Oryzias latipes: one gene and its partners. The main gene of each other region encodes a partner of the protein of the gene in region 2 in a complex. Links are inferred from orthologs where the notes say so. Each region holds a gene or a part of one and is shown on either strand. Other genes may lie near its edges.

Region 1 (3,377 bases), on a different chromosome or scaffold from region 2:
GATTAGCTTGCAATGCTTTTTTTTTTTTTTAACACTGAGCTTCAATAATTTTTTTGCAGCAACAAGACTGATGTCCTTTACATCAGCCTTTGAGAAGCTGGATAAGCACAGATCCATCCAATCCATTATTATTATCAAAACTTTTTGGTTGAGTTGAGTATCAAAAAATTCTCTGCCATCACTACTTCTATATCTAAAATGCAGTTTAAAAGTGCATCAATACACCGACTCATCAGGAGTAAAGGCACCATAAGCTTAAGAATGATCTGCATTAGTATGGACGTAAATGGCGGGACTCCTTTAGACATACTAAACATTTTTATTATAACACATACAGAATAAAAAGCACAGGACCTAGAATGAAGCCCGGGGGAACGCCTTGGGATTATCAGTGGTTCCTGGAGGATTACCAATTTCATTTGGAGATAAAATTTCCTTTTCACCAGAGCATTATAATGTGCATACATGGAGAAGGAACAAATAAATAAATCGGAGCCATCTTTTAGCTTCATTCTATATTTATTGAAATAAATCATTTAAAAGTTTAAGGCAGAAAACGAACACTTTGGAAAAAACATTTGATTGCTCTGTAGCCAAAAAAGACAAAAAAAAGGCACTTTAGATTTGACATCACTGGAATCCGTGAATATGTTTTTTTTGTCTGAACTTCGTTCTTGTTAGGCTAATCAAATTTGTGCTCAGAGGAGACGTGGAAAGCCTAAGACAAAAAAAAGGCTGCTGTTTACATCAGTGAAGCAGACAACAGTGCATACAACATCCCCCCCCCCAAAAAAATCCAAATATAATTTACAAAGAGTAAAATATATTACACAATAAATCTTATTTTTGAGACATGTCTGCATGTTTAATAAGGCACGGATGTTGTCCAACACAGGTGGGAAGATCCGTTTTTTTGAGCTACAACCATAAGATTTGATCTTTATTGAACACCAATAATGTGTTTGAATACTTAAATGAGAAGGAAAAAAAGGAGAATTTCTTCATCTGGAAGACGGATTTGATAATAAACTTTGGGTATATTTGCTGTCTGAAAATCAATACTTATCTTTCACTGGGGTTAAACCGCAAAGCTGAATGCAAGAGAGAAACTGTACAACTAAGTACATCATCAGGAAAATAAAAACACAGATTCCCGTCATTGACAAAAAGCGAGAGACACCTGCAGACAGGCATTAAGGATATAGGAGGATGAATAAGATATTTATTATAACAGTGATTTTCCTGAGAAAACTGTGGGACACAAGCGAGCATGCTTGGGCTTAGTTCTAACCTTTGGACCTTTACACATAAATAAGGTGGAAAAATTGGCAATAACTGTTTCTAGGAATGTGATTTAAAATACAAGTACATGTTAAACCAACGAAGGAAACATGTAGATGAAGAGCAATTTAAATGGAAATCCACAACGTTGTTTAACGATTGGGAAAGACGTGGTGAGGGGAAAAGACCGGGTCTCACTCGGACCACTCATCATCGTCAAACTCGGAGGAGTCGTCCTCGCTGTCACTGCACTCCACAGCGATACGGCGGGACAAGATGGCGGCCACATCGTTTCCAAAGTGATCCCTCTTCTCCTGCTCCCGCTGAGCTTCCACCTTCCGCAGGTTAAAACCTAAAACAGAGCGTTGTTTGGACAATACAGTAGAACTATAAACAGGAACAAAAGCTTTGGTGCTCATTTTAAATCCAAACACAATGTCCTCAGTGGTACCAGAAAGCCAAAACCCCTAAGACTTCTATTGAGAAATAAACAACTATTACTCATTCTAGTTGTAAGAATAACCATTTTTGTAATTCATTTTCCTTACATGTTCTTGCTAATCTTACATTTTTTCATGTTAATCTTTCTGTAGTAAAAGTAGTAAACTGAACAATCAGATGACTCAAAAGTATGTGTCACATTAAACATTTGATCGGCAAATTCTCCCAAGCCTGTTTTCAGTGAAAGGGGTGTGGCCTTCCAACAAACTCACTCCTGATTGAGTGGTTGCCATAGAAATGCTGACTCAGACCTACCACAGTTTACTGACGTTGTCTGTTTTCAATGAGGAAATGTCCACATCATGAAAAAATGGCGATTGAATTGACTTTATTTGGTTGGAACGGGAAGTAAGGCATTTTCTATGGGGGACGTCTCAGCCCAGTTCTCATACACAGTCAATGTTTGGAGCCAGGATTCCTCATTTTCAATCATTTTCTTCAAATCTTTTTTTTGGATGGCAGTGTCGGATCTATTTATGCATGAATGACTAAACTTCATTGAATCACTCTCAGGAGGCTGTTAAGATCAATTAAGTTCTATTGCTTCACTTTTCTTTCATCTTTCTTGCTCTCATCTTTGCTGTTTTTTGGCTTTATGGACATATTGTATGACCCCCGATTTTACATACTGAAAGAAAAATCAAAGCGTAACATTGTGTCTTTTCAAATAAACATGCAGCACATAAGAGAATCACTTTCAATTTGCAGCTTTAAATACTATTTACTGGCAAGAGAATTTAAAAGTCCTGATCAAATTAAAAGTTAGGAAGATTCCTTTTTTTCTGGTGGTAGAGCTGTTCATTTGTCTTCAGGTTGGCTAATAATTTCACAACACTGATGACAGGCTGACTTTAACAAACAGGTTTACCACACAAGACAAACAGGACAATTACAGTCATCGTATCACCTAAACCATCATGTTGCTACCTCTGGATATTGTTTCTACCATACGATTACATATTACATAAAAGTGCATCAGCTTAGTTTCAAGTTTCTTGTCTGTCGCAATTGAACATTGCGCAAACGAAAACAGAATACCTGTGCTAATATTCCCAGATTGTGATACATGTCGATGAAGACTCATTCATCCACAGGGCTCCAGACTGCGACCATTTGCTCGCATTTTGCGACCAAAATTTGAGACTGTGCGACTGAATTTTACATCCAGTCGCACATGCGCGACCAGTAAATTTGCCTCCCCCACCCTCCGTATTTTTTTATTCATTAAACGTGGAAGCGGTCCGTCAATGATCAATGAAATGAGCAATGAAATCATCAATGAGACGCGAGCCCACACGCACGCAGACAGACACACACACACTCGTGAGACTGGAGCACACGCGAGCGCACACTCGCATGTCATTGAGTGATGCCTGAGGCGGCCAATGCGTGTGAGAAGAATAGGGAAAGTCACTGCAACTGGCTAAAATATGTGGAGGGGCGGGGCCTAGAGATAATCGAGTGCGCGTTAACGTCTGTGGGAAGGAAACGGAGACAAATCATCACAACCTGATATGTGCGTCTGAGCTATGAACAGCTAGCGAACTATTGATTCGTTATTTCGACCTGCGGCTAGTATACCAGTGCCAGAGTGT
Region 2 (3,500 bases):
CCAGCCGGAGGCCGGCCCTGAAGGCCTGGAGTTTGACATCCCTGCCTTCAAGACAGAATCTATTTATCTATTTCTCATAGCAGCTTCCTAAGTCATTTAAAAAACGTTTACCATGATGTCATCTGCCAATTAGTAAAACACTTCTTTTTCTCTTTATACTGCACTCTGACAGCAGTTCATTAGGAATGAATGAAAGTTGTGCTTTTAGCATTCAGATGCCATTTCTTTTTAAAGGAATTGCTATTTAAATGTTAAAGGATCTTTGCTTTTGAAAAAATCCACTAACTCATCACATGTTTTCATCGTTTGGATACACACCAAAGCATTTGAAGCATAACATGAAAAAAACTTCAAGCAAAGTAAATATCTTCAAGCTTCCTTAGAAGATGTTTTTTAAGTTGCTGAATTATTCAGCAGCTGCAAAAAGTGACTTTGGTTCATTTAGTGCAGAATTGTAGGAAAAGCAAAGCTGTTCTGGTCTTGCATGAGTTGAGTCTTTAATGGGAATTGGATGGCAGCAGAAGTCTGCATGATGCATTTGTTTCTGCTTCCAAGAGTCAGACGGATGAGGAGAGGCGTCCTGCAGATGCTTTAGCTCTGCTGTCAGGTGGTGGGTCATGGTGGCTGTTGGAAACAGGCTCTGACTTGTTGCTCAGACGTGTTCTTGTGTGGTTTCACAGCAACAGCTGGCCCAGCTGCAGAAGGAGAAGTCTGAGATTTTAAAGAACTTGGCTCTGTATTACTTCACTTTTGTGGACGTCATGGAGTTTAAGGTGGGAGAAAGAACATTCTGGAGGAGTTCAGATTTAAAGGCTGTCACTGATGAGTTGCTTTCCATCTTCATCCACAGGACCACGTGTGTGAGCTGCTGAACACCATTGACGCCTGCCAGGTCTACTTTGATATCGTAAGCGCTGATTTTTAGGTTTGTTCCTTTCAGAATGAAGAAGCTCCACTGAACCAGAATTAAACCTGTGATTGTGTTCTCGAGCAGACGGTGAACTTTGACCTGACCAGGAACTACCTGGACCTGGTGGTGACCTACACCACTCTGATGATCATCTTGTCTCGCATCGAGGAGAGAAAAGCCATCATTGGACTCTACAACTACGCGCATGAGATGACGCATGGAGCCAGGTGACAGAGCCAGGTTCTAGTCCCTCAGTCAGGGTCTGATCAGATCAGTCTGTTCGTACTACGGCTGTCTCTAACAGTTATTTCAGTAGTCGATTGATTTTCAATTAGTCGATTAATCTACAATTATTCTTTACGTAAAGTGATGGGCCACTTTTTTATTTTATTTTTTTTACAAAAGGTGACAGTGCTGGTACTCAGTCCGAGGTGGTTCGTGTCATGTACGGTACTGCTAATGACCGCCGGATCGTACGTTGACAGAAATAGAAAATTTACATGTATAGTTCAGGAATTTCTATTTAACCCTAAAAAAGTTTAAAGTCCGTTCGCGAGCTCTACGTACAAATCACATACAAATCAGGCGTTCATTGATTGCTCGCTGACAGTTCAACTGGTTAATCATTTTCACGCTGAATCGCAGCACTGTGACCAATCACGGACTCGGAATCTTTACCGCATAACAAGAGTAAACCCAAAGTCTGCTAGCTTGATGCTAATGTAAAATGGAATTTCCCATAGGACACCTAATGCTCACGCTTGGTCGACCTTAACATACATGGCTGACTAAATGAACAGCTGGATAAACTCACAGGCATGAATTTTTCAAACTCTTTTAAGGAAAACATTTTTAAAGTTATCATTTGTGGTCTGAAGCACAGTTTTTTCTTAAATCTTCTGGAATACAGTGGACATTCCAGAAGTGGACAAACTGAAAACACCCTCCAGGAGAGAAAGTTGTGCTGTAGATAAGCAACAGGCTGGAGAAAATCTTAGTTGTCAACAGTGATACAGTAGAAGTTAAGTACTAAATCCCTCTCTCCTACTTTCAAAGAAGCTGAAATAATACTCTAAATATCTGAAAAATGAATATAAATGGCCCTGATTTTTTTAAAATATTCAGCGCTCAGGTCTTATGTTCTCCTCAGTAGCCTCCAAGTTTGAAAATGTTTGAGGCCCCTGCAATTCATTCAATACAATTCATTTGAACAATGGTTCACACTGGATGGTCACATGACTTCATTCAAAGTCTGTCCACACATTGGACTGGAATGATGGACTGATCCGTGTTCATGACATCACATGTGTGTTGTCCGCTGTGATGAACTTGGTCGTTTTTACGTTGTAGTAAAATAAATGCTACCATGTCTCAATCCAAATGGTATTTCCCAAAGCTGATGACAGATTTATCTCATTTTGAAACAAATGTATAATGGTATGGGTCGATTCGATTTACAACTTGCCTTAGACAGATGGATCTGGTTGGAATGTAGGAATAGAAATGGATTCATCGATTACGTGGATTAATCATTACACCCCTATGTGGTCTGTCTTTAGATCGCAGTGTTACTTGCACTGTGTTTTACATTTTTAACATGGGGGATGGGGAAAGGGTTGTTTATCTATCACAGCTGATCTGTTCTGTTCCTGAGTCCACTGTACCGCACCACATCTGCCAGTCTGCCTCTGCAATGTTCACTTTACTGTGTCCCAGAAGTCTGATGGTGTTCCCTGTACCCTGGAACAGAACAGGGAAAAAGTCAGAGACAAAAACATACTAACATGAGCACAAAGTCAGCTGTCTACACTGGAGTTGCAGCTTAGTCTCTACTGGACTCCTAGAAACAGAAACAGAGCCATGTTTTAGATAAGAGAGGGGACAGCCCCCCCCTTTTGTGTGCCCTGCTGCTTTCAGCATGGTCCGGTAAAGATGTGAGCTGGTGGTTTGCCTTGGAGTTGAATAGATGTCTTTAACAAAGTTCTGAGGGTTCAGTACGGATTCCTGCTGCTGTGTCTGCTGGAAGACAGAAAACAAGGAAACCTGGAGTCACTCTGGATAAACCTGAGCATTATGTGTGTGTGCTGCAGTGACAGGGAGTATCCAAGGCTGGGACAGATGATCGTGGATTATGAGAATCCTCTGAAGAAGATGATGGAAGAGTTTGTCCCTCATGGAAAGGTGAGGCGTGTCCTGTGTTCTCTTAGTGTTTTGGACCGCAGGTATGAGCATTCTAACAAATGGATCCATTTCTGGTTTCTATCACAACCGGAGCAGGATTCCAAAAGTACATTTATCCTTTTTAGTTTCTTGCTTATCTTGTGTAGTTTGGAAATGACAAAGTTCAGCATTTGATTAGAATCAAACAGTCCATAAAGATAAGATAAGTTAATGTTATTGAGCCACTGCTAAGAGAAACACCTGCATTCTTTCAAGAATTTGGTGGTGACCCTAGCTAATTCTGACACAAGCTGCATGTTTGCTGTGACCAGTCTCTGTCGGAAGCCCTGATCAGCCTACAGATGGTTTATCCACGGAGAAACCTGTCTGCTGACCAGTGGAGGAATGCCCAGCTGCTGTCCCTCATCTC
Region 3 (3,500 bases), on a different chromosome or scaffold from region 2:
CTTCCTGTGCAGTTGTACATGGTCCGCACCATGCTGGAGTCCCTGATAGCAGACAAAAGTGGATCGAAGAAGACTCTCCGCAGCAGTTTGGATGGACCCATAGTGCAGGCCATCGAAGATTTCCATAAGCAGTCCTTCTTCTTCACACATTTACTGAACTTTAGTGGTAAGCTAAATGTAATTCAAGTCATTTATTCAGGAGATGGAATATATTTTTTGATTGAAATCGAAAATTTTAGTTGGAATATCAAACTATAAGTGCATGCTGTTTGTTTTAATGATCCTATTTAAGCATGAAGGTTTTAACAGCTATCTGTACCTCTAATGATTTCCTTATATAGTCCACTTTGTCAGGTACAGCTCATCTAAACTCTAGTGCAGACAATAGGTGAACCTTGCTCTGTTTGAGAGGAAGGTTCTGGTTTTCATGTTTTTTATGGTTGACCAAAGCGCAGAAGTGAACCAAAAGGAGAAATGACATAAGAGTTATGTATTAAAAGTAGCAACAAAATCAGCAAAACTCAGAAGGAATCACATAAAGTTGAAAAGCATTGCAGTGTAAACTTGTAGTGAGGAAATACTAGCGCTAATTATCTGAGAGTGGTTGTGGCAATAGTTGTTTTTCTTCGTCTTCCCTGCTTTGGTCTGCTTATGCTGCCCCCAAGTGAGCAGCACTTGAAACTGCAGGTTTTCTTCAGGCAGTTAAATCTGCTTCAGCAGCTTCTGAGAGCTGTATGTGCTTTAGCAACCCAAACCAGACGAATGTACGACAGTTATTTGAATTTTCTGCTCATTTATACAAAGTCCACAGGACTATCCTTGTGCATGTAAGCAATACTTTTAATTGTGTTTGTCTTGTCCAGAGGCCCTGCAGCAGTGCTGCGACCTGTCCCAGCTCTGGTTCAGGGAGTTCTTCCTGGAGCTGACCATGGGCCGCAGAATCCAGTTCCCCATTGAAATGTCCATGCCATGGATCCTTACTGACCACATCCTGGAGACAAAGGAGCCTTCCATGATGGAGTAAGACTAATTAAGGGGAGATTTGTGTTTTGTACCCTAACAAGTGGGCAGTACTGCAACCATTACCCTTTCTCCTCCAGGTATGTGCTGTACCCCCTTGATTTGTACAACGACAGTGCCTACTATGCTCTTACAAAGTTTAAAAAGCAGTTCCTCTATGATGAAATTGAGGCTGAGGTAAGATCTGATGGACACCAATTCCATTTGGCTCATTTTAAGTTGAATTTGATATATATTTTGTGTGTTATTTGAACAGGTAAACCTGTGCTTTGACCAGTTTGTCTACAAGTTGGCAGATCAGATCTTTGCCTATTATAAAGCAATGGCTGGCAGGTAAAAGGAGATTTTTTTTTTGAACAGAATACAGAAATTTGAGGGCTTCGTTTGAAGAAATTGTGATTTTTTTCCACAGTGTTCTGCTAGACAAGCGTTTCAGGGCAGAGTGTAAAAACTACGGGGTCATCATCCCGTACCCTCCATCAAACCGCTACGAGACGCTGCTCAAACAGAGACACGTACAGGTATCTGCACATCGTCTTTTTGATTATTTTGCTGTCTCATTTGCAAACTATGTCATTGTCGTATTTGACTCGTCTGCAGCTGCTGGGTCGCTCGATTGACCTGAACCGCCTGATCACCCAGAGAATCTCGGCAGCGATGTACAAATCCTTGGATCATGCTATTAGCCGTTTTGAGAGTGAAGACCTCACCTCCATAGTGGTGAGGGGACCATCAGGTGAAGCTTATTCCTGTTCGTTCTCCATATTTTGTTTAAACTCCTTGTATTTTTGGACAGGAGTTGGAGTGGCTCCTGGAGATCAACAGGCTAACCCACAGACTTCTGTGCAAACACTTGACGCTGGACAGCTTTGATGCCATGTTTCGTGAGGCCAACCACAATGTCTCTGCTCCCTACGGACGAATCACGCTCCACGTTTTCTGGGAACTCAACTTCGATTTTCTCCCAAATTACTGCTACAACGGATCAACGAACCGGTCAGCTAAATAAATGTAAAGAAAAACCATTGTTTTGTTTCAACTTTGAACCATCTCTCCTGTTCCTCTCAGCTTTGTGCGAACAGCTATTCCTTTCACCCAGGAGCCTCAAAGAGACAAGCCAGCCAATGTGCAGCCTTATTACTTGTATGGATCCAAGGTATATTGCCATTCTATGTTTGGTGTTCATATTTTTATCTATTTTTTGTTGCTTTTTACACTGTGTAACAAAAGAAAAACTGAAATAATGACTATGCTGCCTCCGATTATGATTCCGATGCTTCCTCTTTTTCTTCTCAGCCTCTGAACATCGCCTACTCCCACATATACAGCTCCTATAGAAACTTCGTCGGCCCGCCTCACTTCAAGACCATCTGCCGCCTGCTTGGTTACCAAGGCATCGCTGTCGTGATGGAGGAGCTGCTGAAAATTGTCAAGAGCCTGGTATTTATCTTCCAATTGCAGCCTCCAAAAAACATGTTGTCATGATCTTTCTGAATTGTAACCGCTATCATTATCTGCCTTTTTCTTTCCCTTTCGATGCTTTTGTCTATCTATTTTACCCTATAGTTGCAGGGCACCATACTGCAATATGTGAAAACTCTGATAGAAGTCATGCCCAAGATCTGCCGTCTACCGCGCCATGAGTATGGTTCCCCCGGTGAGCTCACCTCTGTCTTTTGTCCAACCACATTTACTGACAGGTTTTGAAATTTTAAACTTAAATGTGCACTTTTTATTTTTATTTTTTTTTAGCAAAAATGACTCAAATAAGGAAGTTCAGTGTAAATTCAATTAAAAGCATAGATTGTGACTGGTTGAGGTTTTTTACATACTACATTAAATTAAAAAACCATCAAGCTGAGATTCATAATGACTATTATTGTTATAATCCAGTATAAGATTATTCCAAGAAACCAGATCATTTAATTAAATTCTAATGGTCTATGTAATTGACCAGCAGATTACACTGAAAGCTTTTCATTGGAATCTTCATACTGAGTAAGCTAACAGCAACAGGGCATAAACTTCCATTTTTAAATGGAAGATTAGGAAGAATTCTTCAGCAGAACCAGACTTGATATGAGTAACAGGTTGGGCTCTAAAAGGGGGCTAAATGCTGTGACTGTCCGACACAAATGTGACGGCCCGCAAAAATCAACAATTAACTAAAAGCACCCCACAAACCAAAATAAAACAATATATATAACGTAAGGATGGACGGACAGACAGATGAAGATTAGACAGGCAGACGAGGCCGAATATAGGCATTGAAAAGAGGGGGGCAATGCCACCTAAATGCGTCGGTGCCCCCCTGAATGTGATGGCCCACGACGTCCACCACCAACTATAGAAATAAAAATTACAAAAAAAAAACAAAAAAAAAGACATCATGGAGTTACAGACAGATGGACAAATAGACGGACACGAAAAGAAAAAAAAATACATAAATGCACCCTTAACAGCTTGCTGGTGCCTATCCT

What was found. Proteins that work in one complex are often made in the same cells at the same time.
Region 1: nckap1 (region 2) and wasf2 share a complex: the UniProt entries of both Homo sapiens proteins name them as parts of the WAVE2 complex. The link is inferred for Oryzias latipes from reciprocal best matches to the Homo sapiens genes NCKAP1 and WASF2.
Region 3: nckap1 (region 2) and cytoplasmic FMR1-interacting protein 2 share a complex: the UniProt entries of both Homo sapiens proteins name them as parts of the WAVE1 complex. The link is inferred for Oryzias latipes from reciprocal best matches to the Homo sapiens genes NCKAP1 and CYFIP2.

The regions. Positions count from the first base shown.
Region 1 is NC_019869.2:21,789,727-21,793,103, forward strand, and holds the end of wasf2 (wiskott-Aldrich syndrome protein family member 2), read right to left. Parts: intron 1,634-3,377; coding exon 1,476-1,633; 3' UTR 501-1,475; downstream 1-500. UniProt on the Homo sapiens protein: Downstream effector molecule involved in the transmission of signals from tyrosine kinase receptors and small GTPases to the actin cytoskeleton. Promotes formation of actin filaments. Part of the WAVE complex that regulates lamellipodia formation.
Region 2 is NC_019873.2:796,402-799,901, reverse strand, and holds part of nckap1 (nck-associated protein 1), read left to right. Parts: intron 1-680; coding exon 681-773; intron 774-850; coding exon 851-907; intron 908-994; coding exon 995-1,137; intron 1,138-3,000; coding exon 3,001-3,091; intron 3,092-3,402; coding exon 3,403-3,500. UniProt on the Homo sapiens protein: Part of the WAVE complex that regulates lamellipodia formation. The WAVE complex regulates actin filament reorganization via its interaction with the Arp2/3 complex. Actin remodeling activity is regulated by RAC1.
Region 3 is NC_019868.2:21,208,222-21,211,721, forward strand, and holds part of cytoplasmic FMR1-interacting protein 2, read left to right. Parts: intron 1-12; coding exon 13-166; intron 167-863; coding exon 864-1,020; intron 1,021-1,100; coding exon 1,101-1,197; intron 1,198-1,276; coding exon 1,277-1,353; intron 1,354-1,432; coding exon 1,433-1,541; intron 1,542-1,620; coding exon 1,621-1,740; intron 1,741-1,816; coding exon 1,817-2,016; intron 2,017-2,088; coding exon 2,089-2,176; intron 2,177-2,316; coding exon 2,317-2,460; intron 2,461-2,586; coding exon 2,587-2,677; intron 2,678-3,500. UniProt on the Homo sapiens protein: Involved in T-cell adhesion and p53/TP53-dependent induction of apoptosis. Does not bind RNA. As component of the WAVE1 complex, required for BDNF-NTRK2 endocytic trafficking and signaling from early endosomes.